Oryzias latipes: one gene and its partners. The protein of the gene in region 2 binds, or shares a complex with, the protein of the main gene of each other region. Links are inferred from orthologs where the notes say so. Each region holds a gene or a part of one and is shown on either strand. Other genes may lie near its edges.

Evidence for each region.
Region 1: cir1 (region 2) and hdac3 share a complex: the UniProt entries of both Homo sapiens proteins name them as parts of the notch corepressor complex. The link is inferred for Oryzias latipes from reciprocal best matches to the Homo sapiens genes CIRSR and HDAC3.
Region 3: cir1 (region 2) and dnttip1 share a complex: the UniProt entries of both Homo sapiens proteins name them as parts of the histone deacetylase complex. The link is inferred for Oryzias latipes from reciprocal best matches to the Homo sapiens genes CIRSR and DNTTIP1.
Region 4: cir1 (region 2) and hdac2 share a complex: the UniProt entries of both Homo sapiens proteins name them as parts of the histone deacetylase complex. The link is inferred for Oryzias latipes from reciprocal best matches to the Homo sapiens genes CIRSR and HDAC2.

The regions. Positions count from the first base shown.
Region 1 is NC_019868.2:25,321,109-25,329,055, forward strand, and holds the start of hdac3 (histone deacetylase 3), read right to left. Parts: upstream 4,449-7,947; 5' UTR 4,315-4,448; coding exon 4,260-4,314; intron 3,355-4,259; coding exon 3,272-3,354; intron 3,185-3,271; coding exon 3,042-3,184; intron 2,948-3,041; coding exon 2,866-2,947; intron 1,505-2,865; coding exon 1,448-1,504; intron 1,366-1,447; coding exon 1,310-1,365; intron 1,241-1,309; coding exon 1,026-1,240; intron 956-1,025; coding exon 882-955; intron 809-881; coding exon 744-808; intron 663-743; coding exon 573-662; intron 485-572; coding exon 426-484; intron 1-425. UniProt on the Homo sapiens protein: Histone deacetylase that catalyzes the deacetylation of lysine residues on the N-terminal part of the core histones (H2A, H2B, H3 and H4), and some other non-histone substrates.
Region 2 is NC_019879.2:22,284,772-22,291,710, forward strand, and holds part of cir1 (corepressor interacting with RBPJ 1), read right to left. Parts: coding exon 6,901-6,939; intron 6,772-6,900; coding exon 6,698-6,771; intron 6,570-6,697; coding exon 6,556-6,569; intron 5,662-6,555; coding exon 5,609-5,661; intron 4,217-5,608; coding exon 4,168-4,216; intron 2,357-4,167; coding exon 2,236-2,356; intron 1,327-2,235; coding exon 1,220-1,326; intron 1,018-1,219; coding exon 932-1,017; intron 765-931; coding exon 80-764; 3' UTR 1-79. UniProt on the Homo sapiens protein: May modulate splice site selection during alternative splicing of pre-mRNAs. Regulates transcription and acts as corepressor for RBPJ. Recruits RBPJ to the Sin3-histone deacetylase complex (HDAC). Required for RBPJ-mediated repression of transcription.
Region 3 is NC_019863.2:18,086,653-18,094,681, forward strand, and holds the start of dnttip1 (deoxynucleotidyltransferase terminal-interacting protein 1), read left to right. Parts: upstream 1-3,314; 5' UTR 3,315-3,782; coding exon 3,783-3,857; intron 3,858-4,141; coding exon 4,142-4,212; intron 4,213-4,882; coding exon 4,883-4,979; intron 4,980-5,059; coding exon 5,060-5,158; intron 5,159-5,243; coding exon 5,244-5,303; intron 5,304-5,375; coding exon 5,376-5,435; intron 5,436-5,507; coding exon 5,508-5,560; intron 5,561-5,638; coding exon 5,639-5,681; intron 5,682-6,867; coding exon 6,868-6,926; intron 6,927-7,763; coding exon 7,764-7,824; intron 7,825-7,895; coding exon 7,896-7,967; intron 7,968-8,029. Other genes in the region: pcif1 (phosphorylated CTD-interacting factor 1), read left to right, coding at 237-330, 406-581, 658-985. UniProt on the Homo sapiens protein: Increases DNTT terminal deoxynucleotidyltransferase activity (in vitro). Also acts as a transcriptional regulator, binding to the consensus sequence 5'-GNTGCATG-3' following an AT-tract.
Region 4 is NC_019882.2:21,616,440-21,623,077, forward strand, and holds part of hdac2 (histone deacetylase 2), read left to right. Parts: intron 1-1,376; coding exon 1,377-1,489; intron 1,490-1,666; coding exon 1,667-1,784; intron 1,785-3,653; coding exon 3,654-3,728; intron 3,729-3,865; coding exon 3,866-4,004; intron 4,005-4,082; coding exon 4,083-4,224; intron 4,225-4,315; coding exon 4,316-4,408; intron 4,409-4,480; coding exon 4,481-4,589; intron 4,590-4,659; coding exon 4,660-4,800; intron 4,801-5,159; coding exon 5,160-5,268; intron 5,269-5,873; coding exon 5,874-6,004; intron 6,005-6,095; coding exon 6,096-6,251; intron 6,252-6,328; coding exon 6,329-6,386; intron 6,387-6,496; coding exon 6,497-6,527; 3' UTR 6,528-6,638. UniProt on the Homo sapiens protein: Histone deacetylase that catalyzes the deacetylation of lysine residues on the N-terminal part of the core histones (H2A, H2B, H3 and H4).

The DNA of each region.
Region 1 (7,947 bases), on a different chromosome or scaffold from region 2:
CCTTTATCCACCTTTGTCATGGTGGGGAGAACACGTCAAAGTAAGGGTGGGGGTCATATGATAGCTCAAGAGTTAAGCTCTGTAACACCCGTTCAAGCCATCACTTCCACTGACGTCTGTGTAAAATTGCGCTTTGGGCTTCTGCGTCCACCATTTCTAGCGTCAAATGAGCAGCCATTGAACGCATGTTGAAAGTGAAGCCAGATCAATTTGTCCAATCAGGACTCAGATTTGGTAGTGACGTCTGCATTCTGTCACACAAACAGTCTCACAGTCAGTCTCAAACAGACTTTCTTGGAAAATTCTCCCTTTTGATTTGAATTTTCCTGACTTCACCGGCGGTAACGGATCTGACCTTCCAGCAGATGGCGGTAAAACTGGATAATTCGATCAGTGTAACAGTAACAGGAAGTGGAGCGTCTCACCGCTGTACGGCAGCTCGTCGCTGATGGATTCCTCCAGCAGCAGAGATGTCTCATAGGTCCTGCCGTCCACAAAGCAGATGTTACACAAACCCTGAATATCCGTCACAGGTTGCTATGGTAACACCTATTGGTTGAAGGAACACTAACCAGCAGCGAGCCACGTTCCTCACAGTGTACCCTCCTCCTCCGAGCACCAGCAGAGGAATCTTAAAACTCTTCACGAACTCCACGCACTCCCTGAAACAGGAAGCACCGTCATCCTGCTGACCACGCGGAAACGCCGCCCCCACCCTCCGTGACGCGGAGTAAAAGTCTCACCCGTGTCCCCGTATGCTAAGGTTGAAGCAGCCCAGTCTGTCGCAGCCCAGGGAATCGGCCCCACACTGCAAACAAACAGCCTCGCTCTCAAAACGACCCGCAGACAACACAATGGGACAAACGGCGGCGGCGGCTGACCTGCAGGACGATGCAGGTGGGCTGGTAGTAATCCACCACCTGCTTGATGACCGGCTGGAACAGCTGCCGGTAACCTGCAACACACACAGCCGTGACTGCACGCTCACAGCAGACGGCTCTGACTGCGCAGACCTCGGCCCTCACTCTGGTCGTCGATGCCGTCTCGCAGGGGGACGTTGAGGCAGTAGTAGCGTCCGCTCTCGGCCCCCACCTCGTACATGTCACCCGTTCCCGGGAAGAAGTAGTTCCCATACTTGTGGAAGGACACGGTCATGACTCTGTCCGTCAGGTAAAAGGCCTCCTGGACGCCGTCTCCGTGGTGAATGTCGATGTCGATGTACAGAACTCGGGGGTGGTACCTGCGACACACACACACACTTAGAAAAGGCGGGAACTGCCGGAGGAGGTGCAGAGGAGCGCCGCCTCACTTGAGAAGCTCCAGGATGCTGATGACGATGTCGTTCACGTAGCAAAATCCCGACGCCTGCAAACACAGAGAGAAAAAAAAATCTTCAACCACAAATCACTTCAACTGAACAGACAGGAAGCTGTGGAAGTTTACCGACCTCAAATTTTTTGGCGTGATGCAAACCTCCAGCCCAGTTGATGGCGATGTCACAGATCTGCAACCAAAAATATTTACATTCAAGGAAATCCAGACAAGAAGGAGGCACTGTGACAGTGACACCTGCTGGTCATCTCAGGTCATGGCAATAAAGTCATAAATCCAGAAAAAAAATCATTGTATTTTAAAAGTGCTTGGAGCCTAAAAATGTTTTTATTTTTATTCTGTTGCAGTTTCAATAATTATAAATAAAAGGTAAATGACACTCCAATGATTCCAGGTTTTTCAATAAAGTACATCTTTCGTCTTTTTACTGTCTCAGATGAAAGGAAACGAGCGGCTGGAGTCACCGTTTTAAACTTTTAATTCCAATAAAGAAGCCCTGTTTACACAGAAAACAGCTACGAAATGTAGGACTTTCTTTTTAGACAGAAATAAAGAAAATGATTTAGAAATGTCTTCCAAGATGTCTATAAAAGGTTGGCATTGAAAGCTGCTTTGCTGCTGCTTTTCAGTCCAAACCAGCTTAATGTTCCGAATCAGAACCAAACAGTGAAGGACCATGTTTTACTATAAAGCAGCTCAAAACTGGATCAGCTGTCCTGATGATGACAAACGTCTACTCAATGATATTGTTTTCTGTATGTATATCTGTGGATTGATATACATCCATGGATGTCTGTGGTGACAGTCGGATAACTCCTCACTTTCACACATTTGCACACTAGGAGAATAAATCCAGTTTTATAGAATGCAAACAAAGATCTGATGATGATTTGGCACAGAGGAGATTGATTGACAAGGTCAACAGCGAATCAGGACGCAGAACACAATGTGCTGTTAAAAAATGAGATCGCCACAAATGAAGACAAATGCAAATTTCCAAACATTTCCAGCTTCATGCTGACAACTTTGGCTGTTTTTTCCCCAAACATTTGCTGAAACTATTTTTTTAAGACGCAGCTTGAAAATAACATTGTTTTTTTTTATATTTTTAAGAACTGAAGCTGCTATGTTTGTTACAAACTCCAGAATATTTAACTATTAACTCTATTAATGCTGCAAAAACATGTAAAAAAAACCAAACATTTAGCTTATTTGTGACCTTCCTGTGAGTAACGATGTTTGATAAATAATAAGCAAACCATTTTCTTTTTTAAATGATTGCGTTGAATGTGGCTGAAGGTTCTCGTTTATCCGGGTGACGCAGTTTGGAATATTTCCTCGGTCTAATAGAGAAATCGTTCAGTATGATGATCGATTGTGGTGTAAAAAATCTGCAGCCCTTTATGATCATGTAAACATTTAAAGTCTGACCCTGTGAATAATTCCTAAATGGAGCTGAATATCCGTTACTAGAGGAGTCCATGAGTGACGGTTCATGACAAACCCAGTGATGGAGAAAAGCGGACGGCTTACCTTGTGGTTGAGCTGCGTGGCGCCCTGCAGAGACGCCCCCGTGTATCTGGAACAGAACTCAAAGAGTCCTGGAAACACAGGACTAGAGCCCGCCGTTGGGTTAGTGCTCACATTTGCATGAACCAAAAGCAGAAGACAGATCGATGAAGAGGAGGAGCAGCAGCAGCAGCGCTCACCAGTCATCTCCAACGTTGAAGGTGTTCAGGCTCTTGGTGAAGCCCTGCATGTTGTTGGGGCTGACCTTCTGCAGGAAGTCGATGTAATCTTCAGAGTGGAACCGGCACATGTCGTGCTGAGAGGCTTTGTACGGCTTAAAAACCTGACGGTCACAGAGAAACTGCAGAGTTCAATCTTTGATCTCGAAGCAACAGTGGAAGCAGGTTCTGGACCTTCAGGAGTGTCTCACCATCATCTTTTTATATAACCCATAATGCAACACCAGACTGTGGGTGAGAGACAAACGGTGAGGCTTCATGGGATGACCGGCACCTGCAGGAGACGCGGTTCACAACAAGCATCATCACTTTTTCATCATCAGCTCCATTTCAACATGATTACACTTCCAACGCGTTTTCACGACCAACAGGAAAGAAGATTAAAAAAAATGCTGCAGAATCCCTCCATTTAGTTTGAATCTGCTGCAGCTGTCGGTTCTGTAAATGTTTGTTTGTTGTTGTCTTTTCTTTTTAGACCTATAAAAACCAGAGAAACCACGATCACACTCTGTCAACAATCGTTTTGTCAATCAGAGGCCGTGAATGCTTTGGGACAAACACTTGTTTTAGATTTTGGTCTCCATTTTTATCCTGCAGTGATCAGCTCTTTGTGGACTCACAGCAGCTTTGAACTGAGCTCACACTAATAAAAAAACCAAATCAATGATAATCCCAAACTGTTCAGAGATTATAAACAGCTGGAAGTGATTAAGACCTAAAAGTTTTCATGATAACAGAAACGGGTAAGGACATAATTAATTATTATTAACCTTTCTATTACCTAAATCTAGAATCAGTACTCCTCAGCTTAATTGGTATATAGTATAATAGCCCATTCCTGTATAGAATACAAATTGCAAATATGTTGCCTGGAAATAACCAACTCAGTCAGGGTTTAAAAACACCAACAGATAACCCTAAGTATCTACATACACTCCTGCCGTGGGCAGGATCGCTACAATATTCTTTTCCTTTGCACCCAAATGTGACGTTATGTGTTCATTACTCACCTACAACACACTGGCCTGAACATATGAATGAGATAAAAAAAAATATCTTAATTAAACCCAGAAACAAAATTGGAGCTGAATTTTAACAATGAATCGTTTGAATTGTTAGCCTCCTCCAGCTAGCTTGCATTAGCACTCCTGCTCCAATCCCAGCGTTCAGCAAACTCACCGTAATGAAAGTTTCCCACATCTGGGTCGTAAAAGTAAGACGTCCTAATAGACATTTTAAATGTAAAAAAAATAATAATAATCCTGAGATTCAGCGAGGTTTTACTTTTTAAAGAGCGGCTCAGTCTGCCGCATTTTTCCTGCCGCTAACGGCTAACCGTAAACATTTAAAGGTGACGTCATCATGCTGGGACGCAGGGGATGGAGAGGGGAGGGGCGAACAGGGGGTCTCAAGATGGCGGAGTGAGTTTAAACCAATGAGTGATGATCACTAGAGGAAACATCACGTGGTTCCTCATGGGAGGAGAGCACCGCCATCTTGGTGAGGTCAAGTTACTGCTGCAGTGAATGCATTTGAACACATTTTTTGCATAATACCAGTTCATTGTTTGTGTTTCAACTGCCAAAATCAGAGAACTGAGTCCATGAAAGAAGAAGTATATCATTTCATAGAAAAGTATTATAATTTTTTTCTTTTGTTTCTTTCTTTTTCTTTTGTTTTTCTTTTATTAATAGAACACATGTTGACATGCATGATGCTGCAGGGTTATTATCAACATGCTGCATGATGTACGGAGAATTTGCTGTCGACATAAATGTACATTTTATTTTGCTAAACCTGTATACAGCATACTAGGCTATTATAGTAATATAGATTTATACATGTCTGACTCAGTGACCGAACTTTTCACTATTCACTATTCAGACTTAAGGAAAAAGTGGATCTTAGCAATAAAAAGAGCTAACCCAGATGGATCACTGTGGTACCAACTAGTAATACAGTCTGACTGTTCAAAACATTTGTGGAAACCAATTTAGATAAGAGGCCAGACTGTTAGCTTGAAACCTGACACCATACCATCTGTGTTACACAAATTGATCACTCACATGAATCTATTATTTTTCTTTGTTGTTGTTATTTTAGGGTAAATCTATTGTTCACTTTTGGAATTCTTTTGAATATTTATTTTATTATTATTATTATTATTATTATTATTATTATTATTATTATTATTATTATTATTAATAATAATAATAATAATAATAATAATAATAATAATAATAATAATAATAGACTTATATTTTATTATTTATTGACTTATTATGTATGTATTGCTATTATTTATTGTTTGTATTGACTTACTATTGATTTATTATTATTATTATTATTATTATTATTATTATTATTATTATTATTGAGTTATTGTTGGGTTTTTCTAAATAATTTAAATTACATGTCAAAGAGGTCTAAAATTCCTAAATGTTTACAAATTATTTTTTTTTAATTCTTTGTAATAATTTTTTTATTTGTAAGAAGTCCTGCAACAATGCATTTTCATTAAAGTTTGAGCTTTTAAGGCTGACTGTTTCTCTTCTTTAACAACAACAAATGATGTATCTATATATATATATATATTATATATATAAATATAATGTATTTACATATATTTATAAATATATATAAATTGTAAAAACATATATAGTATATAAAAGCTACTTAGACACCTCTAAAAGCAATAGAAATCATTGTCATGTGGGCGTCGTCGACCTCACCAAGATGGCGTCGCGCTCCGCCACCGTCGGCCAGGCTTCTAAAGCGGGCATGTCTCCTCTAGTGATATAACTCATTGGTTTAAACAGTAGTGAGTTATATCGCTAGAGGCGACACGCCCGCTTGGGAAGCCTGGCTGGTGGAGGCGGAGCGAGTCGCCATCTTGGTGAGGTCGACGGCGCCCACATGACAATGATTTCTATAGCCTTTGGTAAGTAGCTTTTATATAATTTATATATATTTATGTTCATAAATATGTATACATATATATAAATACATAATATATATATATATATACACCATTTGTTGTTGTTAAGTAAGTGAAACAGGCAGCCTTAAAAGCTCAAACTTTAATGAAAAATGCATAGTTGCAGAATGTTAAAAATAATTTTTAAATATGTAGAAGTTTTAGACCTCTTCGACATGTAATTTTAATTATTTAGAAAATCCCAACAACAAGACTCTTTCGGCTTTTCCCATCAGGGGTCGCCACAGCTAATCATCCTTTTCCACCTCACTCTATCATGGACATCTTCTACCCTAACATTAGCCAACTTCATGTCCTCTGTTAAGACATCCTTATATCTTAAGACATCCATATATCTCAATAGGAAGTCAATAATAATAATAAATAATAACAATATATACATTATTAGTCAATGATTATAATAATAATAATACTAGATCAATAATAAATATTAATAATAAATCAATAGTAATTCAATGATAATAATAAATGATAAGAATAAATCAATAATAAGTCAACAATAAGTCCAAAAGTTGATAACAGATTTACCCTTAAAAAAAGAAGAAAAATAAAGAAAAACAATAGATTTACTGATTCATGTGAGTGATCAATTTGGTGTTACTGGTGTCTAGCCAGTCTTATCAAAATGTGTTTCGACAAAATCTTATGAACATAGCCAGACTGTATTGTTAGTTGGTACCACAGTGATCCATCTGGGTTTGCTCTTTTTATTGCTAAGGCCCACTTTTTCCTTAAGTCTGAATCCATTGGAAACCTGCAAGAAAAGTTCAGTCACTGAGTCAGAAATGTATAAATCTATATAACTATAAAAGCCTAGTCGTAGTACAGAGTATATAGGTGTAACAAAATAAAATGTACATTTATGTCGACAGCAAATTATACATACATCATCCCTACATGTTGATAAAAGCCCTGCAGCATCATGCATGTCAACATGTATACTAGTAAACATAAAGAAATACTCTAAAATCATTTGTGGACAAGAGATAGTTTGTCGATCCAAAACCACATTGCAAATAACATATATGAAAGCAGAAGAGCGTGTGCGGGACCATTGGTTTCCAATCACAGCTCAATTTGAGAACCATTTCCTGAACCACTGACGAGGCCCGGCCCGCTTCCAGCAGAACTGAAGGATGAGGGAGCCTTCACTGAAAATTGTATGGACCAAAATCTGTCTCACAAATACATTCTTTAAAAAAAAGAATGACAAATACAATTTTTGCCCAACTCTACCACATTTTTGGCCCATTGCAAATCAAGAGAGAGATGGTGAAGTTCTGAGACTGTGTGAAACGGGTGGAAATGGATTTTTCTGCAGAATGTGTGTTGGCTTGTTGAATTTTTAGTCCTGGAATGTCAGACCTCCTCTCTGCTGCTTTTTCACTTCCACTCATCTTCCTGCTTCATGTTTCTTTGCCGGTAGCAAATCTCCCTCTGCTTCTTTGATTTAATGCTTCATGTTTTATGTATAACAGAATTCCAGTCACACTAGGTTCAATAAAGGTCAGCTTCAGACGTGCTCTGTGTTCAGTGTTTGAAATTTGAACAAAATTGTTGTTTTTAAACAACAATTTTGCTATCCTAGGCACTTTAACATTGGGAGTTGGGTCATCTAGACCCACTAGACAGTGCTCTGAACCTTTTTTCTTCAATGATTTGTGATTTTCACTGGTGTCCATGGATTACATGAAATCTTTCCACCTTCGTCATGGTAGGGAGAACACGTCAATGGAAGGGTGGGGTAATCTAAGATAGCACAAGGGATAAACAATTTCTAAGCCGCCTCAAACTCTCAAACAACTTTACAAATCAAGATTTCATTTTGTGTTAAGCTCCCAAAAATCTGTTTGCAGAATTTTCTCCTCA
Region 2 (6,939 bases):
CAGTTTTTACATTTTAAACAGGAGCTGCAGGCATTTTAAAAACTGACTAAAGCTAAAAAAAAAAAAAACTTTGAACGTATTAGGGTTTTCTTTTGACTCGCTCTTTGCTTCTATCCCCACTTCGGCTCCTACTTCTTCCTCTTCCCTCTCGTTCTTCTCTCCTCTCTCTGCTCCTCCTGTCAGCTGTTTTGCCTCTCCTTTCTTCTGCCTCCCATCTGTTCTTCTCGTCTTCACTCTGACGCCTCTGTCTACCTCGGCCCTCCCTGCCCCTCTCGCGGCTTCTGCTTCGGTCCGGGTCCGCCCTGGAGCTGGAGGGTCTCTGCCTGTCCCTGCTGCTGCGTCTCCCTCCATCTTGACCTCCCTCTGGAGTGTTCTTGTTCTTGGGACTGCGATTTCTACTCCTGCTCCTTCCCCTTTCCACTCCTCTTTGTCTGTAATCTCCAGAGTCCTCTTTCGGCTCCTTCTGTCCGGTGTGAGGGCTTGCTGACCTGCTCCTGCGAGAGGAGGCCTTTTTGTGACTCTTGACTCGCCGCTCGCTCTCAGAGCTGTTATCCCGACAGGACTCTTCTTTCTTGTTCTTCTTCCTCTTTTGGCTCTTGGATTTTCGGTGAGCGCCTGAATCTGAGCCACTGTCACTGCTGCTGTCATCAGAGGAGCTGCTTGAGCCATCACTGCTCTCCTGCTTCTTCTTGTGCTTTCTTTTGCTTTTCTTCTTCTGTTTTTTGCTCTTCTTTTTCTTTTTCTTATCAAGCCGATCAAGTTTTCTGCAAAACAGCAAAGAAGTAAACTTTTTTTTTATATTTGAAAAATCAGCACACATAAAAACAATGAGAACATTCATGTTGGACATAAACATTTTCTCCTTAAGCCTTAAAAACTAAAATGTACAAATATCTGAGAATTTGCAAGACTGAAATGAAATCCTGTTTACCTGAGGAGCTTTTGCTTCTGTTTAGTGGTTAATGACTTCAAAAATTCCACTTCTGGATCGTCTTCTTCATCACTGGCAACATATTGCTAAAAAGAAAAAAGAAAGACTTTTGGTGAATTAGAGTTATTATAGATGTTTAAAATAACGTTTATTAAAAACTAAGCATATTTCATGAAGCCTGAGAACCTAACAAAACTTCCCTTTCTTTGTTGGGTACATTTTTGTGTAGATGTGCGTTTGTGTATCATCATATTCGCACAACGATGACAGTGTGAGACAGACAATTACCTGTGTAGAATCGCAAACAATAGAGTTGGTATCAAGGACACATTTTTTGAGGGCAAACCCACTGTTTCGCATCTCCGCCATTAACTCGGAGGGGTGCATCGACGGACCTGTTGGCACAAATCACACCCTAAGAGTCCCATTGATGTGGGATGTATACCATCCACTATCTCCACGGCGGGAATTCCAAAGGCGGCTTTGTTAACAGAATGGGACACCAAATCAACTCACTCCACTTCCGGCTGAGCAAATCATACAATATCGTTCACTGCCAAAGCAGCAGTTAGGGGAATCAGAATACACAATAATTACATTTTTTTTCTCCCGGCACAGGAGGGGAACCATTACGGCACTCCATCATCATCCCCACTGACTGGACTCTCCCAGGGTAAACATTATCACTTTACTACTCAGCTCGCTGATTGCAGAACTTGGAATCAGCTGAAGGCTGTGAGCTTTAGCTGGAGCCTGAGAGGAATGATGCAGAGGTAAACGAGCCACAGCATGTGTGGAAGACAAAAAAAAAGCTGCTCCGCTGACCCCCGCCAACCACGGATTCACATTCTTACCACAAATAGTCACACCATACGTGCGTTTTCAGAAAGCACATGGTAAACGGCGTGTACTTGTAAAGCGCAGCACTACCTTCTTAGAAGGCCCAAAGCGCTTTACAGTCCCATTCACCCACATTCAACCAATAATGGAGGCTCTGCTGCCAAACGCTGGCGCCAACTTCTAACCACCAGGAGCAACGTGGCGTTCAGTGTCTTGCTCAAGGACACGTCGACACACGGACATGCAGAGTGCGAACTGAACCTGTGATCTTTCAACCAGAGGTCGACCGCTCTAGCCCTGCACCACCACCAGATGCAAGTAAAAACCCTGAGCATGCTTTAAGGATTCTGTATGCTTCATTTGATGCTTTTAAAATAAAACCTGTTTATAAGAACATTTGTTTGAAGGTCCATTTATACTGATGAGAGAAAAAAAAAAGAATACTTGAGCACATAAAATGGTACCTGCTTCCTCCTCAGACGCCATGGAGCTGGCGTTGATGCCTGACAGTCCGTACAGAGGACACTCTCTGTCTGTGTTCACGTGGCCCCATTTGTGACACTTGATGCATCTGACATTGCGCACCTTTAAAATAAAAAATGAATTAAAAAAATTATTCAATTGTTGAATAAAAAGGTTGTAGAAATAACGTCATAATATACGACAGAGTATAAGGGCCACCATACAGAAAAAGAAATATTTGAAAAAAGTTCATGAGGGGAAATAAGTCTACATTTTATGGGAATGAAGGCACAAAACTGTTAAAATAAAGCTGTACATCACAAAAAAGCCAAAGGAGCGATTCTTGAGCAGTGTGGTGTCCATCCTATTTCTCTCAATTGTTTACAACACACACACAAATAATGTTTGGTTGAAGAGGGAAAATATAATGTTTAATTCATGAAAAAACAAAATTTCCATGGTAAAATTGTGACTTCTCATAATTCATATATGCATTTCTTTTTTCATGCTGGCCCCAAAACTATGCTGTAAATATAGATTCTTGGGATTAATAAGGAGGAAAAAAATATTCTAAACTCAAGTACAGTGTTCCTTCATTTATCGCTGAAGTTAGATTCATGATAGGGGATAAGTGAAATAAGCAAAGTATCATCTTTTTTATTTTGTGATCTAATGCATAGATCATGTACATAGATCTTGTGATCCATTTTAAACACGTTTCCAGTGCTTTTAATTATGATTATGTCCTTTTGGCCCACTGATTGTAGCTTCTACACCTACAAGCTTTTTCCAAGTTGCATTATTTCTTCTGCTCCTGATTCACAATGATTTGAATAGAGAAATACTCAGAAATGCAATTTTAAACATACTTTCCTTTGAATATATTCGCCGTCGTGAGAAAAATGCCATGGAAACATGTTAAAAACACCAAAACTATTATTTTCATGTAAAGCACATAAAGCTGCATAACATTGTTTAGTTGCTCTTGTATATATGTATATATCTTGGAAAAGATATATGTTTGTATGTAATTTATATACTTTTACTACTGGATCCTAAACCATTGAAGCCATATATATTGAGGTTAGGAGTAGTAGGTAATGAAATGACAGAAGAAAATGTCCTTTTTTGGATTGTATTGTTTAAAAATTTTCATTAGTAAATTTGCTGCAGCGGGATGATTCTATATGCAAAAAGTGTCATATTTTGAAAGGAACTTGATACAGCCTTTGTCAAATGCAAAACATCAGATTCAAGAAAAAGAGCTACTTTGTTTTTATTTTGCTGTGTTTAGTTCAATTACATTTCTCCTAAAAGTACCATAAATAAAAAGCACTGTTGTATTTTTTTAAGCAGTTCCTGCTGGGTTTTGGTCAGAATAATCAGCCTCAATGGCTCTCTCAGTGTTGAAGGCTGAGATTTCACATTTGGTTTGATTTAGGGTGAATTGTTAGTGTTTGCAGTTAATTTACAAGTTTGAGTTTTTAGATAAATATTAATAATTGAGTGCATCAGAAGGTAAGAAGGATTTCAAGCTTTTCATTTACAAAAAAAGTAAATACTTTATTTATTTTTATTTTTAAAATACTTTTTCTAAGATACTTAAAGCCTAAAGCCAATGGAAAAAAGACAAATTATTACATTTTTTAATTTTATATTTCTTATTTTTGCATTATTAGTACCAACAGTCAACCAAAAACTCTAAACTTAATTCACAAATTTAACAGAAAATAAACAAGTTTCTATTCACTACATTTAGTTTAGATCGTATTTCCAGACCAAAAAGAAAGAAACTGCAGCAGGGTTTATTTATTTGTTTGATTTTTTCTTTCCGTAAAAAGAGGAGTTGACTAAGATAATTGAATCAAAAGAGCAAATGTGCAGTTTGCCTGTGTAACAAAGCAGTTAAAAAATAGGAATAAATCTTCACTCACCTGGATTCCAAATGGCTGATCTCTAATATTCATGTCATCTTTTGCATATCTATAAAAATAAACAGGGAACATGTTGGTTTAATCAACTTAAAGAACGGACAGACTACACTGTAAAACTAACAAGTTCTTAAAAAGACCTTAAAAATAAGTTAATTAATTAATTAATTAACCAACTTTAATTTTCAGTAGGTGGAAACAAAGCAGCAAAAAAAACTGAATGGGAGGATATTTCCCCCCCAATAATAATGTCAAAAATAATATCAAACATTTCCAATCAGGATAATAATCAAATAATGAGTACATTAACGCTACCAAAAAGCAGCATAGTGCTTGTGTAAAACTATGAAAGTCAAAAGGTGCAGCAGTGAAACATGTGAGATTAGCTGGTGGTGTTAGCTGTCAATCATCTTGAGCATAGCAGTGACCCACTAACATACCTCCAACTTGTGATCTGACACAATAAAGCAGTGGAAATATTAAAAAAAACACACAGAGGGGGACAGATGCTGGGCCCTGGTTCTCGTGTACAGAAGAAAAAGATCAGGAAGTGTTTTCTTGCTACCTTATCTTTAAGTGTGTCCAGCATGATTCATTGTCCGTGATAAGAAAATGCTGATCAGGAGAATTCCAGCAGCCTCTGCCGCTATCAAGGTTTGTGTCACAGAGCTGTTCCTTTGAAGCAACAAGTACTCAACACAAAAGACCTTAAGAACTTTGTTTAAAGTGAGAACTCTAACATCGCTTTGAAAATCGCCTTTTCAGGAACCTCAATCAGGAAGAGAAGGTTGCTCTGTAATTGGTTTGTTGAATTAACAGCTTTACCGTTTAAAGGGGAGAGAACCTTTCCAAGAAGGCAATGACTATTCTATTATGTGGGATTGTTATAATAATAATATTAATAATAATATTAATAATAATGGATTGGATTTTTCTGTGCTTTTCCAGACGCTCAAAGCACTTACAAAGCGTCCATTATTGATTCACTCCTCATTTATACTTGGTGATGATAAGCTACTGGTGTAGCCAGAGCTGGCCTGGGGCAGACTGACAAAGGCGTGGCTGCCAGTACAGGCCTACGGCTGCTCTGACCATAACTGGGACATTCGTACACATTCAATTGGTTTGTTGGTTCCAAGACACGGAAGTAGACTGAATGAGACTACCTATGCTGGATCCTGATAACACGTAGGACAGATTCATGATTTTCCTGAAGCATTTTAATATACTTTACTATAAATATCATATTAATGATTTGCCATCTTTATCTAATAGATTTAAGATAATTTTATGACCTGGCAAATAAAATATGCAACCAGGCTGATTCCCCCTCCCCAAAACTGGTCATGAATACATCTTAAAACATACAATGAAAATATAAAATGACCAAAAACTCAAGTCTTGAAGCAACCTCTAAAAAAATGTGTCAGAATCTAGAACTTACTTCTCTCGGGGAGCAGTCTTCTGCCACTCAAACTTGCATTCCTCCTGACCCTCCTGAGAAGCAGAAATATGGACATAAGATTATCTTTAACATTATAGATTTTGTTTGTCCTACGAGGGCAAACTCAAAAAAGATGTATACATTTTGCATTTAAAAAAAGAAAAACAATCTAAATTGAGGCAAGATTAAAGACAATATACCACCATAACCTGGGCAATATAATAATAAAAAAATGTCTGAAGAGAACACAAAATATGGCAGCTGGATCTGCATTAGATCATCTTCTAGAAACTGAAAGCCTTTCAGACATGAATAACGCCAATCCATTTCTAGATAGTTATGTATTACAACTTCAAACAACCCTGAACTTGCAGAATATTTTTATACAGCAAAACTGTGATAATTTTTTTTAGTCATAAAGGTGAAAACAAGAGTGATCGGTCATAAATAGGGTAGTTTAACAGTGTGGATTTCTACATACAAAGGGGAAATGATCTAATTCCTTCTTATTGTGAATGAAACATTTATCTGTAGCCACTATTCTCTTCAAACTTTTCTGAACAAAAGACAAAATTTTGCTCCTTTAACAAGATTCATTTCATTTTTTTCATTCAACCTGGCCTCTAAAAAGATATTGAATTAATTATTTTGTTTGTTTTAGTCTTAAGTATTTTTTAAATGGGATGTTACAGTCAGTATTTAAATGTTTACAGGCTGTTAAGGAGTTTTTCTTCAGCTGCAGTCTGGTCATGACTATTGCAGAAACACACTTTTTTTAAACAAGCCAGATAGAATTGTGTGCAGCTATTGAATAAACAATTATCAATGACAAAATAAACCAAAAAGTGGATTGTTAATGTTTAGGTGAAAATCACTTGGAATTACTTGGTTAGAATTATTCCCCTCTGTCTAATAAGTGAGTTGATAAAGATTTTTGTTAACTTTACCTCTTTTGTCTCCTCTTCAAGTCAGTAAAATGTGCGAAGAGCAGCAAAAAGAACAGAAATGTACATGTTAAACATAAGATGTCAAAGAAATATTCAATTAAAAAATTGACAAACATATTGACAAATGTGGAAGATCATTTACCTTTGGAAGCGCCTGGTGGAGCTTCATACATGAAATTGAGGCCATTTTTAACACGATCATCTCCCATTAACAACCTACAATCAGAGAAAATACAATCTTATCTGAAAAATTTATTAGTTTTGTGCTGTTATAAAATCAAACCAAACTGCACAACAAAAGCAGCTTAAAGCCAGTTCTGGAAGTCAATAAGGCTTTAACCTGACCTGTTGTTGTATGTTTCCTGCTCTTTCAAATATGCCTGC
Region 3 (8,029 bases), on a different chromosome or scaffold from region 2:
ACCTGAGCTAATTCTGTACAGGAGACGCAGCATGGAGGAGATTGATTGACAAGATCTACAGCCAATCAGGACACAGAACTCAGTGCGCTGTCAAAAAAAACTCAAGCATGAAAGTTTACACAAATCTGCGAGACCGCAAAAGATGAACTGCCAGATAACGAAGGAACACTTTGCTCTCATCAGATTGTCTCTCTTGAGCTGGACAAGTATAATGATGGAGTACATGTTGTGTCCAGGCCGTTCCTGTCTTTCAGGCCAGTGAGTGGTTCATTTGAAGCAAACCCCCCCTTCTGTGAGGAGCTCATGGACAGAATGGTGACGCACTTTGAGGTCAGTACTGCCTGAGTGTTCACCTGTGCGGAGTTGTGCTGGTCTGTGCATTCACCCGGTTTGCGTCTGTGCTAGGATCTGTTGGAACAGTCCTCGGAACCGCTGTCCTTCATCATTTTTATCCCGGAGTGGCGTGACCCGGTGACTCCTGCTCTAACTCGCATGGAGGAAAGCCGGTTCCTGCGACATCAGCTAAGCGTCTCAGCCTACGAGCACGAGTATCGATCTGGAAGTCAGCACGTCTGCAAGAGGTAGCTGCACTTCTGCTGTTCTGATTCCACGTCCCACCTGATCTAATAGGTTTTTGCTTTTATTTTTTGTCCTTAGAGAAGACATGTACTACCGGGCTGTCCATGGAACTGCGGTACTCTTTCTACAGAACGACGCTGGATTTGCCAAATGGGCGCCCACACCAGAACGCTTGGCGGAGCTGACAGCAGCATATCGGCCTTCTCTGTCCCGCACTTCCTCCCTGTCCTCCCCTGGCCCCGCCCACATTTCCCCAGGAGACAGAGATTCCACCCTCAAGGCCTGTGATAGGACACAGAGCAGTGTGATGTCCCCCAGTGACCATGACAACAACAACAACAACAATGGCAGCACCAGCAGCAGTCCTCAGGACAAGCTGGCTGTGACAGAGGGGCAGAGCTTGTAGTGATTTTCATCCCTTGCGCTCTCATTGACCCTCACCAGCAACTGTAGCACACAAAGGCCGACACAGAATGCTGCTGTTCCCCCGCCAGCAAGGGTGAAGGCTTCATCTGACCTGTTCACCACTTCCCCCTCCCTCCGTCTGCTGGCCATTCTGATTGGCCGAAGCTCTCACGTGCTGTTTGAGATTCGGCCGCTCAGAATTCCAGCAAAAAAAGACTTCCCTGATGTCTGAGGACTCTCACTGGTTGGCAGCTATCGTTTCTACAGGACTTGTCTGTCTTTGACAGAATCTCGCAGAGCTCCCGCCCTCTTTGGTGAAGGAGGACTTGACTGTGCACCTGTTGAGCGCTGGCAGCTGGACTGATGGGGTCAAACAGAGGGGGCGGGGCCACAGTGAGATTATTGTCCGTCTTTTTCTAAACGTTCTTTTTTGTCACTTTCACCTCAGTTTTTCTTTTGCTTTGTAAATTAAATTAACATTGTAGATTTGTTTAAAAGAAAATTATTATATGAATTCAGATTTACAGCTGGGCCAGTCCAGAAGGACTTTAGTACAGACAGGTCTGGTCTGGTCCAGTCCAGGTTCAGACACTAAGACACTTTTAATCTCTCATGGGAGAACACAAATGAGCTGTGCCCCCCCCCCCACACACACACTTCTGGCCTGACCCAGCAGCTGCCCGCTGCTCTGTGACAGGTGTCAGGTGGCGTCTCTGCACCCATTTGTAGATAATGTACAGTTGGACCGCATGAGGTCTGTTGATGCTCTTTTCAGCTGAATTTTTTGTTGTTGTTTTGGATTAATTTAACCTTTTTAAAAGAGATGTGTTTGTGTATTCACGGCCCAATAGTTTGTTTTAACCCAAACCAAAGTGTTGTTTATAGGATATAAATGTGTATGTACAGGACAGGTGTTTATCTGTGTGAGCTGGGACTCTCCTCGCCTCACCATCTCTTCTTTTAGTTGTGCATGAAAAAATTTGGACCGCACACAATCGCAGAGCAGCATTTAAGGAAAAAGTTCAGAGTTGGAACAGAACCTGAAAAACCTGAAGCGGTTTTTTTTCTGCCACAGCTGAAGGTGTGTTCTCCCGAGAGTTGATGTCGTCTTTATTTCTGACTCTCAGATCGTCAAATGCTCTCTTACCTCCTCAACAGGTTGGTCCTGTTTCTTAGCAGAAGAGCGGTTTCCTCTTCCACAATAGGAGGGTGACGGGAGGCATTTCTGGTTTGTGTTCAGGGAGCCGCAGGACTCGGTTACCAGTCCAGCAGAGGGGTTGTTCAGTATAAGTCTGTTCAGACTCAATTTTTGTTGTCCTTAATACTGCCTGCAGACAAACTGCAACTCCTCTCCAAGTAAAAAGTATCCAGCCCAGTACAACAGCGTGTAGCTTGTCTTCATTGTCCCTCAGGTTTGAGCAGCTTTGTTATTGTTATGACATTTCAGATCTCATTGATTTGGAACAGGTTAGTTGCATCAGGTTTCTCAAAAGGTTTAACTAAAAACATGCAAAACTGGACTATAAAATGAGCAAATACAGCAGAACCATGCAAAGGTGTAATCCTAAAAGCGAAAAGTATGTTGTTGCATCAAAAATGGTTACAAAAATAAAGTTAGAGAATCTTAAGACCAGTTTGGTTAGTTTTGCAGTAAATGAACAACTGTACAGGTAATCAACAATACCTGCTTTATAAGCAAGTTACAAAATGCACTCTTCTGTGCTTTTTGTCTTAAAAAAACACTTTTTATTTATTTTTTTTGCTTTTAATCTTTTGTGACTAGAAGGAATTGTAGGAAGGAGATGAAGGAAACTCTAGACCTATTTTCCTTTTCTATTTGCTAAATTTGAACACCCTTTTTTCTGTTATTTATTGGTCAATTATTACCAGAAAGGGTCTTTTCTTTTCTTTTCAAAATGAGGTATTCGAACATAAATTTCTCTGATAAATGAGGTTGGACTTTACTTTTCAAAGCTAGTCCTGAGGGTTCACAAATGTTTCTGCTCCTGAAGTCTTCTCTGTGACATCTACATCATCACTCAAGGGAGGATGAAGCTTTGTCTCCTCTTACTGCTGCTTCTGCTACTATAACTTGACTGTGGTCTTGACCTTTGTCTTAAAGGTATGTGACACTTGTTTCCAATAAAAGAGGTTCCAGAGACTCATCATAGCACAGAACCAGACTGTGAGTGAATATGTGGTGCTCCTGCAGGTGCCCCAGGTCTGCACCAGGTCTGCTTTTTCACATTAGTGAGTCCTGAATGGCAACTTTTTTTCCAGCAGTTTCCCCAGCATCTCTGTGTCGGCATATACTGGTATGGTCCATGAAGTAGGAGACAAGTACAAACGTTTTGTTGAAAATATAAACTATGTTCAACAGATCTGTGTTACAACAGATGGATGTAAAAGAGAGGTAATACTTAAGAGGTTCTTACTTTTGACACCTAATTTGAAACAACTGATACTTTAAATGTGGGGCTTTTATCTTGATAAGGTGGTGACCGGATACGGTTTGTGTCTGTTTGTGAAGGACTTGTATGCGAAGTACATGATCCGAAAAACCACAGTGTATTTTTTTTATTGTTTTCTTTAAATTATATGACAAAACACTTTAAAATGTCGAGATATTAGCACTGTTTCCTCTCTTGTTCTTTTTTTTCGGTCTTACGGAAATTGTACCGGAAGCGTGACGTCAAGCTAGTCACTTAGCCACCGTTGTTTTTACCACCTGTTAGCCAAAATTGTAGTTGTTTCTGTTCGTTCGGGCTCCTTGGACCCTGGACAGCACAGTTTCCGTCATGGGAGCCCAGCGCAGTGAGGGAGGCCGCGACTGGCAGGAGCAAGAGGAGGCGGAGAATCCGGAAAAGATCACGGTTAGACGAGAGTCAGCTCCCGGCCTCCGCCGAAGGCCGACTCCGCTAAGATTAGCGAGTCCTGTCGCTGTTAACTTAAACTGTACATTATAATTATGAAAGCAACTATTATATTATATTACATCATTATAGTATTTATATCATTATAGTATTTATATCATGATTTTACTTACATCCGGAGGGGTCTGATGTTAGTGAAACTGGAAAATGTATTGAAACATAAAATGCAGAAACTAAGAGACTAAAGCGATGTTGTCGTCACTCAGTCATACTGATGTTCACAGAGGCCTTGGAACCTGATGATCAAGCACAGACACATCCACAAACGAGGTCGCCGCTCACTCTCGGCTGTCAGGTTAGTGCTGCTTTACTTCTACTGTTTCTACTCTTTCTCCTTCATGTTTAGTTGCAGTCCAGCCTCCCAACAAAGCAGCTCAATTCATGTTGTTTCCTTCGTATTAAAGTGCCATGTACAACTGAAATGGGCTCCAAATGAATCGTTTGTCTGTTTACTGCTAAACGTTGTACATCATGGAGTTCAATTAGGTTCAGATCATTCCAACAAGGCCACTCCAGTCATCTGTTGATCTGTTTTTAAAGTGTTTCCCGGGGCTTTTAGTTATGATTATGCCGCTTTTAGCCCAAATCCCCAAACTTTTGATGTTTTTTAGGACAGTTTCTGGGATAGAGTGGCAGTAATTCATTACAAATGTGCCTCTGTCTTGTGAGCTGGACCACTGCCGCAGAGTGAACGTTCCCCCACTTCCCATCATCCTTTTGTTTACATGCTGTCTCTCTAGCTTAGTGCCCCTCACACCCCCAATATCATCAGTGCAACAAAAATGGCGAGCAATATTGCAATATACAAACTATATTTGAAGAGTAAAATTATTTTAGTTTTATTGATCTGTAAGTAAATGGATTTGCATCAAATGCATGTTGAGTAGATTTCTCCTCTTTTTATTCTGGTCTGCCGTTTCTGATTATTTCTCACATTTTAATGAGGATGTTCCCATCTTGTACAGTTACACAGATCCTCATGTGTCCATGGACCTGTTGAGGGCAGTGCTTCAGCCCAGCTTCAACAATGACATCATGGCGGTGTTCATGAAGTATCAGAAGGTCAGAGTTTGCACTGGAGGGGTGGGCTGCTACCTTCGGGTGTGGACGAGAGTGAGCAGTTGTTGGTGTGCATCTTGCAGTTCTACGAGAAGGCAGCGGAGAACGTGAAGGAGAATGTAGGCATGGAGGTGCAGACGGATCATCTCATCAGGGAGGCCTACAGGAACGCTCTGGAACATGTGAGAGCAGTTGGTGTTCAGCTCTGACCGTGTCTACTCTCCTGTGGGGAAACTCTCTGACAACTTTATTCTGATGTTCTCCCAGGCCAAACAGCTCTTTCCAGAGAATGAGGTGAAGACGGCGGGACCTGGGGTAAGCATGAAGGTAAGATTTGTGGAACCGGCCAGTAAGACCCTGGCTGTGGTTTTAATCTGAACTCTGTACTTTTCCCTGCAGAGACTACCTAAAGCTTCTGATGAAGAAGGCTCACAGAGAGGAAGCTCCTTTCCTAGGAAGGTACGATGGCAGCATCTGTTGTACGTCAGGTGCTGCATTGACCCAGTCATTAATGGTTCTGTGTCCCCTCAGAGGAAAAGTCGCCCCACTGTCGCGTTTTCAGACCGACCCACAACCTACATTCCGTAAGTACCTGAAGATGAAAACAGCAGCATCTCTGCAGGTGACCTGACCTTTCATCATGTGTTTAATATTGTCTTTAGAGTGAAGCCCAAGATTGAAGCCATTAGGAGGGAGGGGCCTAAGGTGAGTCTGTCTTCACACACTACAGAAACTAAAATAGATGAGTTACTTTATTTGTCATTGTTACATGTACAGTGACATTTAAAAGTGCTCTTAGGGTAGTTTATTATTCTTAAAAAAATATTTAAAAAGTAAATAATTTGCAACTTAATAAATAAAAGTGCACATTTGGTCATTGATTTCCAAATAATAAATAAATAGTGCATCATATTGTCATTAAAAAACAAGAAATTACAACTAATACAGTTAAAACCACAAAAAAAGGATTAGTCATTAAAAATAAGAAGTTATAATTAGAAAGCAGTGTTAAAACAGGTGTAATAATATTAAATATACTTTTTAAAAAAGTCTGAAGACCAGAATGTTTTAAAAACATCAATAATTGCAGAGTTTCTGCAGCTGCAGTTACAATTTTAACACATTTTAGCAAAGTTTAAGTTAAAAACTGTCCTTCAGACGACTTGTCCTTTTTTTTAACTAAAACTGTAACTTCTGTTTTAAGGTATCTGCTCAAACATGGAGTCACCGGGGTGTGAAGCGCCTTTCATCATTTTCTGTCCTCTTATGAGGCAACAACCAAGATTTTTCTCCAAAAACTGGAGAAATTATTTTTCTTCCTTATAAAATAAGTAATTTGTATTCAAACATATACTGTATATCATCAGTGGGGATGTAATGACTCACTTTCCCCACGTTTCGGTTCAATTCTGTAAAATACGTTTTGGTTTTAAACTGATAATTCGGACTTCTATAGTCATCATTCTAACCGAACAAACATCGCCTCAATTCTTTGTGCCGACACGGCTGATGGAGTCTCTCACAGTGAACAATTGAGTTGAACGGTGTAGTGGCTTCCCGCTGGTTCTGATGTCAGGCAGTTAAAAAAGGGCATAAAGTAATGAATCTTGGAGATATCCTCTACTTAAGTTGAAAAGGATCCCTAAAAATATAGCAACTTTTTAGACAACCTGCTACAACTTCAGATTGTCTGTGCAGCAACAACCACAAAAATTGCTCCCAAAATCCAGATTTTGTCTTCATTTTCTTTCCCTCAGTGCACATGTCATTACAGTAATTAGTTATGATGATGCACTCTGTCTGCCTGAAAACATTGGTTGATGTTCTTCCATACCTGATACCTGATGGATGAATGCAAATAAACTTATAGTACCCTTTGTTTGTGTTCCAGTGGGATCCATCCAGACTCTCAGAGACCACCACCTTTGTTCTAGGCTCCAGAGCCAACAAGTGAGTTGGTGCATAAATGACACCACAGTATATTGATACATTGATGTTGTGTGACCATAAAGGCCTGACTTTCTTCATGTGGCTGCAGCTCTTTAAGCTGCATTGATGGGAAGGAGTTTCTTAAACTCCTTCCCATCAATGCATTTAATAAATAAATCCGCCTTCGCAAATGTCAGTCACAGACTGCAAGTATTCCAGCCTAGAAAGATGAGTTTGATCTGCAATGTTCCGCATAAGATGGAATTAAAAAATAAAATAAAATCCGGGAAATCATCTTGTATGAATTTTAAAGAATGGTGTCCTTTGACAGCTCTTTGGTCTTATTCATGGTGGAGAGATTATAGTCTGAATGTATACAGGTGTCTTGTATACAGATAACCAGTTCAAAAGGATGACATACAAGTAATGAGTGGAGGATAGAAGAGCTTCTTAAGAAGAAACAGCAGGTCTGTAAAGGAACAGAATTCCTGCTTGTTTTTAGGAGCTAAATATTTATTTTCTGCGTCATTACACACTTAAATTCTACAAGAATCTACAATATGATTTCTTGGATTTTTAAATAATTATCAGTAATTATTATTTTACTAAGGTGTTAAAGTGCAGGCAAAAGCAGCAGGGGGGTACGAGTGTCTGTTGACACCCAGAGGTGGTTCCATTGTGGATAGTGAACTGGACCGTTAAGGTGGAGGTTTGTTTCATGGGGCGGAGCATCTCACCACCAGCAGCCATGACCTGGTTGGTGTTGGAGGTTAAGCTGCTCTGGTGATGGTTCATGAGTCGGGCCGCCATGTGACAGTGACGTGTCTTCCTGAAGTAACACTGCTGATGTCACTGCAGAGCTCTCGGGATGGGCGGGACCAGAGGACGGATTTACATCAAACATGCGGACCTGTTTAAGGTAACGAGCTGTCCTTTGTCTTTGACCAGAACAGACAGGAAGTGATGTAACTGTTATTCTCTGTGCGTTAGTATGCTGCAGACTCCAAGGACAAGCAGTGGCTGGCAGAAAGACACCACATGAGAGCCACAGGGGGCAAGATGGTGAGAAACCCAGCACCACACAGATGTATGACTGCAGCGCCACCTGCTGCCACAGATTATTA
Region 4 (6,638 bases), on a different chromosome or scaffold from region 2:
ACGAATATTCGCCAGGCGTTATTCGCCAGCGTTTTTCGCCACGTTTTTTGTGTTCACACCCAGGCGATTTTCGCTGACGATGAGTGGAGTGAACATGCAATTTCATTCCCTGACATTAGATGGCGCTTAATGTAAAACTGAAATACTCCTGTACACAAGGTGGCGCTGCGCAACTTTACGCTTCTTAAAGTCGCTTTTCACTCAGAAGAAGAGAGCAAGTTTTTACACGCTTGTCAGAATCAAACAAAGAAAACATGAATATTTCAAGCACCAGTAGCTCCAACTGGTGCTTGGTTCGGGGATGTTTTAGAATGTCCGTCATTATTGCTTCGCGGCTGTGTAGACGCTACTTGGCGTCTATCTTCTTCGCTGGTATGTGTGCTCAGCAAGGCAGTTTTGTGTTTGAGCGCCCCCAAGTTGTGTTTTACTGTAACTTCAGAAGCTCCAGACACGTGAGCAAAAGCGCCGTTCTCATTGGTCGAGTAGATTTCGTCGGAAAAAAAAAACGAACCCGAGGCGTTTTTTTTTGGACGCTTTAACGCCTGGCGTTTTTTCGCGTCGATGTGCACACTCTCGTTGGTGCCCTTTGTTTAGTCACGAGGCGTTAAACGTCGGCGAAAATCGCCGGCGAAATTCGTCCCGGTGTGAACAGGCCTTTAGAGTGGAACAGAACAGGGAGCTTGGGGCTTGCTTATAGCTATTCCCAACTGCATATTTTTTATCCGCTCCTGACTCACAACAGTTTGAACAAAGAAATACTCGGAAATTCAATTTTCTGTTTAATTTTCTTCATATTCAGAATAATGCTGCCAGAACGTGTTAAAAACACCATGTTCATTTAAGCAATTCACTTCACCTTTTTCTGCGGTCACATTTAGCTTAGAGCAGTCCCACGTGCACTAATGACGTGCACATCACTTTGAAATGACTAGATTACTGATGCAGATGTAGATCTTCGTGAACATAAGTGTCATAAAAGTTCAGCCCATTAGAACTGGCACTTGTTTAGAGCGGTTTCATATTTTAATAATCTGACTGAAATCATAATGTAAAGAATAAACTGACATTATGAGATGTCAGAGTACATTTTGGTTGGGAGGGTCCAGTTTGTTGGACAGGGATCAGTCCCGTTTTCTGTCTGCTGTAAACTGTTCCTGGTTTGTTTACTGAGCAGTAATAAATAACGGTGAGGATGTGAGTCATCGTTCTGAAGCTTCGGTTGTTCCACAGATCAGTGCTCTGAGTTGTCTTCCTCTGTCGTTTGCTGCTCATGTTCTCTGTTGGAACAACACAGATGCCAACAGTTGAATCAGAAAAGCTGGTGGAGCTAATGTTGGCAATCTGCATCATTGATTTTGTGTTTTTCTTGTGTCTAGGTGATGTTGGAAACTACTATTATGGACAAGGACACCCCATGAAGCCACATCGGATCCGCATGACTCACAACCTCCTCCTGAACTATGGCCTCTACAGAAAAATGGAGATCTATGTATGTTTTCCTGTGCTCTGTTGCTGTGAGGAGCGTGTCTCCATGTGACCTGATCCTCAGCAGACTTCAGACATTAGGAAACGTCGATTTAGCTTGGCGGTTTGCTCTTAGTTCTGTGTTCGCTCCTGCTTTCATTCAGTTCTGGTTTCTTCCCTTCCACCTTTCTCCTGGTTTCAGAGGCCACACAAAGCCACCGCAGACGAGATGACCAAATACCACAGTGACGACTACATCAAGTTCCTCAGATCCATACGGCCAGACAACATGTCCGAGTTCAGCAAGCAGATGCAGCGCTGTGAGTGGGCTCTGTTGACGTTCAGACAAACTTAAGGAAGCATTTTGTACAGGATACAAGTCAAGTGAAGTGGATTGTCAGTGAAGCTACAATCCGTCAAATGTTTCCAACGCTGGACGTGGGACCACCTACTTTTATTGAGGCATCTGATTGGTCACTTTATAAGTGATAAACCTGAACTATAGACTGCATAACCTAGAGAATTGCATAACCTGAACTATAGAATGATGTAAAAACAAAAGGGATGACGTCATCAGAAAAAGTATGGTTCTTCTGACCAATAGAATGACTGAGGAACAGCTGTTTATTTCTCTATAAAAGTCGATTTTGGATTTTGCGATTTTGGCTTTTTGGAACCAGCAGGTACTTCCTGTTTGGAATGCCATGGGGAGGAGGGCCACTCAGTCCAGTTTTCTTATATAGTCAATGGCTCATACCAAACGCGATTTGCAAGTCATGGCATCTAGTTTACATGTTAAGTCAATCTACAGATTTGGTTAGAAGGCCCGTGGCTCATTTTAAGTGTCAGGGGGGTGCAGTTCTTTAGTGGTGGGGCATTTTAGACAGTGGGGCTACACAGTGTGGCAACATTTCACAGTGCAGCACCATGTTTCCAGAGTTTAACTATGGCAAAGAGTTTGTGTTGCTTCAACCAATCAGGGACTCAGCTTTGGCCCGTGACGTCTTGATGAGGTGATCAGTGGGTGGAGTCTAAAACAGACATGAAGGAGAACCTGATCATTCTCTTCGTGAACTTCACACTTTCCTTATTATCATTGAGACAATAATAAAACGATTCTACAAGTAGTATACAGTAAACCCTTGTTTTTCGCGGGGGTTACGTTCCAAAAAAACCTGTAATAGGCAAAATCCGTGAAGTAGAAACCTTTATTTTATTTTAAATATTATTATACAATTAAATACTTATACATTATTATACATTGAAAAGAAAGAACAAACCATTTTACAGGCTCAAGCATTTGTTTCACAAATAAAAGTACTTTATAAAAGTTTTTTTTTCAACAAATAACGTCTGTACTGTTCTGTCAAATAATAATTTGAATCATCGATGTGAACAGAAGGCTTCAAATCGCGGAGATTAGCCCCGCCCACCGCGACCCGAGAGTAATTGAATTAAACGGGAGAAAATTTAAAATGATAATAAAAAAAAATACAAAGTACAGTGGGACAAATAGTGAGTCAGGTGTATTTCACTGCTATTCAGACTGAGCCGCTGCATCCTGACTCCGCTCTGCAGTGTTTTCTTCTTTTGAAGCCCGCGGTGCAGCTGTGTTTGTTCAGGAGAAGAACACAGTGATAGGCAGTTGTTGCTCTTTTTTCTATGGGTTTTAGAGATACTCGAAATTGCAAGAGAATTTGCACGTACATAATGTAAATTTGGCAAGCTGTTTTATGTACGTGTACAAATTAAACTGCAACGTTATTGACGCACAGGAAGAGAAGAATTAGAGTGACTTTTTAGCCAATCAGAATGCAGAACACAATGCACGATGCAAATCCGTGAAGAAGTGAAACCGTGAAAAGTAAACCGCGTTATAGTCCCTCCTGGGACTAATGAGGGACAGCAAGTCATCACACTGGGTCACAGAGACAGAAGTACCGCTGAAAGCATCTGTCATTCAGATGCAGCTCCTGCAGCAGACGGTGAAGCTCTCCATACTGGGGGAGTCTCTGAATGATCTCAGACATGGACACATGATTACTGATGATTTTGTAGAGCTCTTTGAAATAAATAAACCTGAAACTAAATCACTTCTGCTTGAAACACAAAGCTATTGAAGCAAGCTTTGTTTTTTTTGTTTTTAGGAAGCCCAGGTTATGACTTTTCATTGGTGTAATCTTTTTCAGTCAACGTTGGGGAGGACTGTCCTGTGTTCGATGGCCTGTTTGAGTTCTGTCAGCTGTCAGCCGGCGGTTCTGCTGGTGAGTCCACACAAACCACATCGTGCTTGTGGGACGTTACTAGTTAGAGACTAGTGTTACCTCAATTCCTCAAAGCTCAAAGCTGAGCTCTGCATCAGACCTGAACCCTGACCCCCTGCCCTGGTCTCTTTGGACAGCTGGGGCTGTGAAGCTGAACAGGCAGCAGACGGACATTGCCGTGAACTGGGCGGGGGGACTCCACCACGCCAAGAAGTCTGAGGCTTCGGGCTTCTGCTACGTGAACGACATTGTGTTGGCCATCCTGGAGCTCCTCAAGTCAGAGGAATTCTCATGAACTTCTCATCCACGGCTTTTCGTTTTCGGCAGATGAATGACCCTGGGTCTTGTCACCAGGTACCACCAGAGGGTGCTTTACATCGACATTGACATCCACCATGGAGATGGAGTGGAGGAGGCCTTCTACACCACTGACAGGGTCATGACGGTGTCTTTCCATAAATACGGAGAGTACTTCCCTGGAACTGGAGACCTCAGGGTGAGCAGTGATCACAAACAGACTGATGCCTGAGTGGAGATGGTTCGATCTTCCTCATGAAGGGTTTGTTGGTGTCTCCTGTGGTCCTCAGGATATTGGAGCTGGAAAAGGCAAATACTACGCTGTAAACTTTCCCCTGCGGGATGGGATTGATGACGAGTCATACGAGCAAATCTTCAAACCCGTAAGACACAGCCACACTGGAAATGATGAAGAACCTGTCAGTGGTGGCCTCATGTGCTGTTTGGGCCTGCAGGTGATGTCAAAGGTGATGGAGATGTACCAGCCCAGTGCTGTGGTTCTGCAGTGCGGTTCAGACTCCCTGTCAGGAGACCGCCTCGGATGCTTCAACCTCACCATCCGCGGTACAACGCAGCCCCACGCTACCTGCATGAGTGACACCGGCAGGACGGCCCTAACGCGTTGTTGTTGCAGGTCATGCCAAATGCGTGGAGTACATCAAGTCCTTCAACCTCCCGTTGCTCATGCTGGGGGGAGGAGGATATACCATTCGCAATGTGGCGCGCTGCTGGACTTACGAGACTGCTGTGGCTCTGGACACGGAAATCCCAGACGGTTGGTCTCTTGTTGTGTCAGAGAGCTTCAGCTGCTGTGACCTGCATGCATTCATGCAGGTACGCATGTGAACCAGCAGGGGGTGCAAACGTTCCGTGTAAAACGAAGGAGCGTTGTTCCCAGAGGACAGCTGCTTTTGTTGCAGGTGCTTCTGCGGACGAATCAACAATAGAACCAAAACGTTTAAAGCTGGTAGCTATAATTCAGATTGTATTTTGACTTCAGTTAACACAACAGTCTTTTCCCATGATGCTTTTGGGCCTCTGAGCTCCTCATTCTGTGCAGCTGCTGGAAGCATCAGTTTGTCTGCTTTCCATGCAGAGATCTCCTGCATCTGACTCTTTCTTTGACTCCTTCAGAACTGCCTTACAACGACTACTTTGAGTACTTTGGACCCGACTTCAAGCTGCACATCAGCCCCTCCAACATGACCAACCAGAACACACAGGAGTACCTGGATAAGATCAAGTACGTTTGTCTGGAATTACCGGGCCTTTGCTTCTGTGTCGGTATTGATGAAATAACCAGAAAAGCAGCACTGATATGCAACACGATGGTGAAGTGTTTGCACGATCAATGTAAACCAGCTGGTTCTGACCCGGACAACAGTGGCTTTGCTAACGTGAAGTGTTGCATTGTGGCACAAAGCTGCTCTGGAGTTACACTCATTGCATAAACAGTTGTAGAGTTATGATAACGTGGTAAGAACGTTTGTTCTTTTGCACTTGTTGGTGACTGCTCTGACATCAAAGTGTTCAGGCCCTTACTTGTATTTTTAAAATGGCAGAGTGAAAATCATTTGGATAACGGAGTCGAGGCTCTCATCAGCTTCAGTTGTCCTGCTGTGACTATTTTTTATTCTTTTTACAAGCAAACGGCTCCTGATTGTCTGATTTCACTACCAGTCTACAGCAGCACTCAGACGATCTAGTAATCCTTGGCACCGGGTTGAGCGGCCATCTCATTTAGCCGTTTTTCAGTTGAACTGAAACCAAACGGTTTGTCTTTGTGTGATGAAGTAGTTGTTTAAACGCCTCTTGGGAGTCAGACTGACGGCCCGTGTGTGTGTTCAGGCAGCGCCTGTTCGAGAACCTGCGGATGCTTCCTCACGCTCCAGGAGTTCAGATGCAGGCCATCCCAGAGGACGCCGTCCCAGACGATCCGCTGGACGAGGACAAGGAGGATCCCGACAAACGCCTGTCTAGTAAGACTGCTCGCACTTCCCGCCCTCCACAAACCTCCCGTGATCGCCCACGTCCCCGCTGCTGCATCAGCGTGTTGCTGTGTGTCCACAGTTCGGGCCACGGATAAGAGGATAGTCTGCGAGGAGGAGTTCTCCGATTCAGAGGACGAAGGGGAGGGAGGCCGGAGGAACGTGGCCAGCCACAAGAAGGGAGGCAAGCGGCCCCGCCTGGAGGAGGAAAAGAAGGAGGGAGAGGAGAAGAAAGCTGGTTGGTAACGGGGCAGATGGGAAGGAAAGAAGCTGGATGGAATCTGAAGCGTCTGACGTTTCTACTTCCATCCATAGATGTAAAGGAAGAGGAGAAGACGAAGGACAGCAACTCAGAGAAAACGGATTCCAAAAGGTGAAGTGTCAGCAGCTCCTGTGGAGGACTCCATCCTGTGATGGTCTCACGTTGTTTGAGCTTCCTGTTCGGACTCCACCCTCACATCCACCTGTCACCTTCCTCTGCAGTGTGAAGACGGAGCAGAGCAGCAGCGCCTGAACCCGGTTCTCCGCCGTGCAGCTCGTCACGGAGAGGCATTTTATTTATTGAGACTCCATGGTTGGACTCCAAGTCCCTTCCAACAACCACTTTGCATTTTTTCCAGAACCA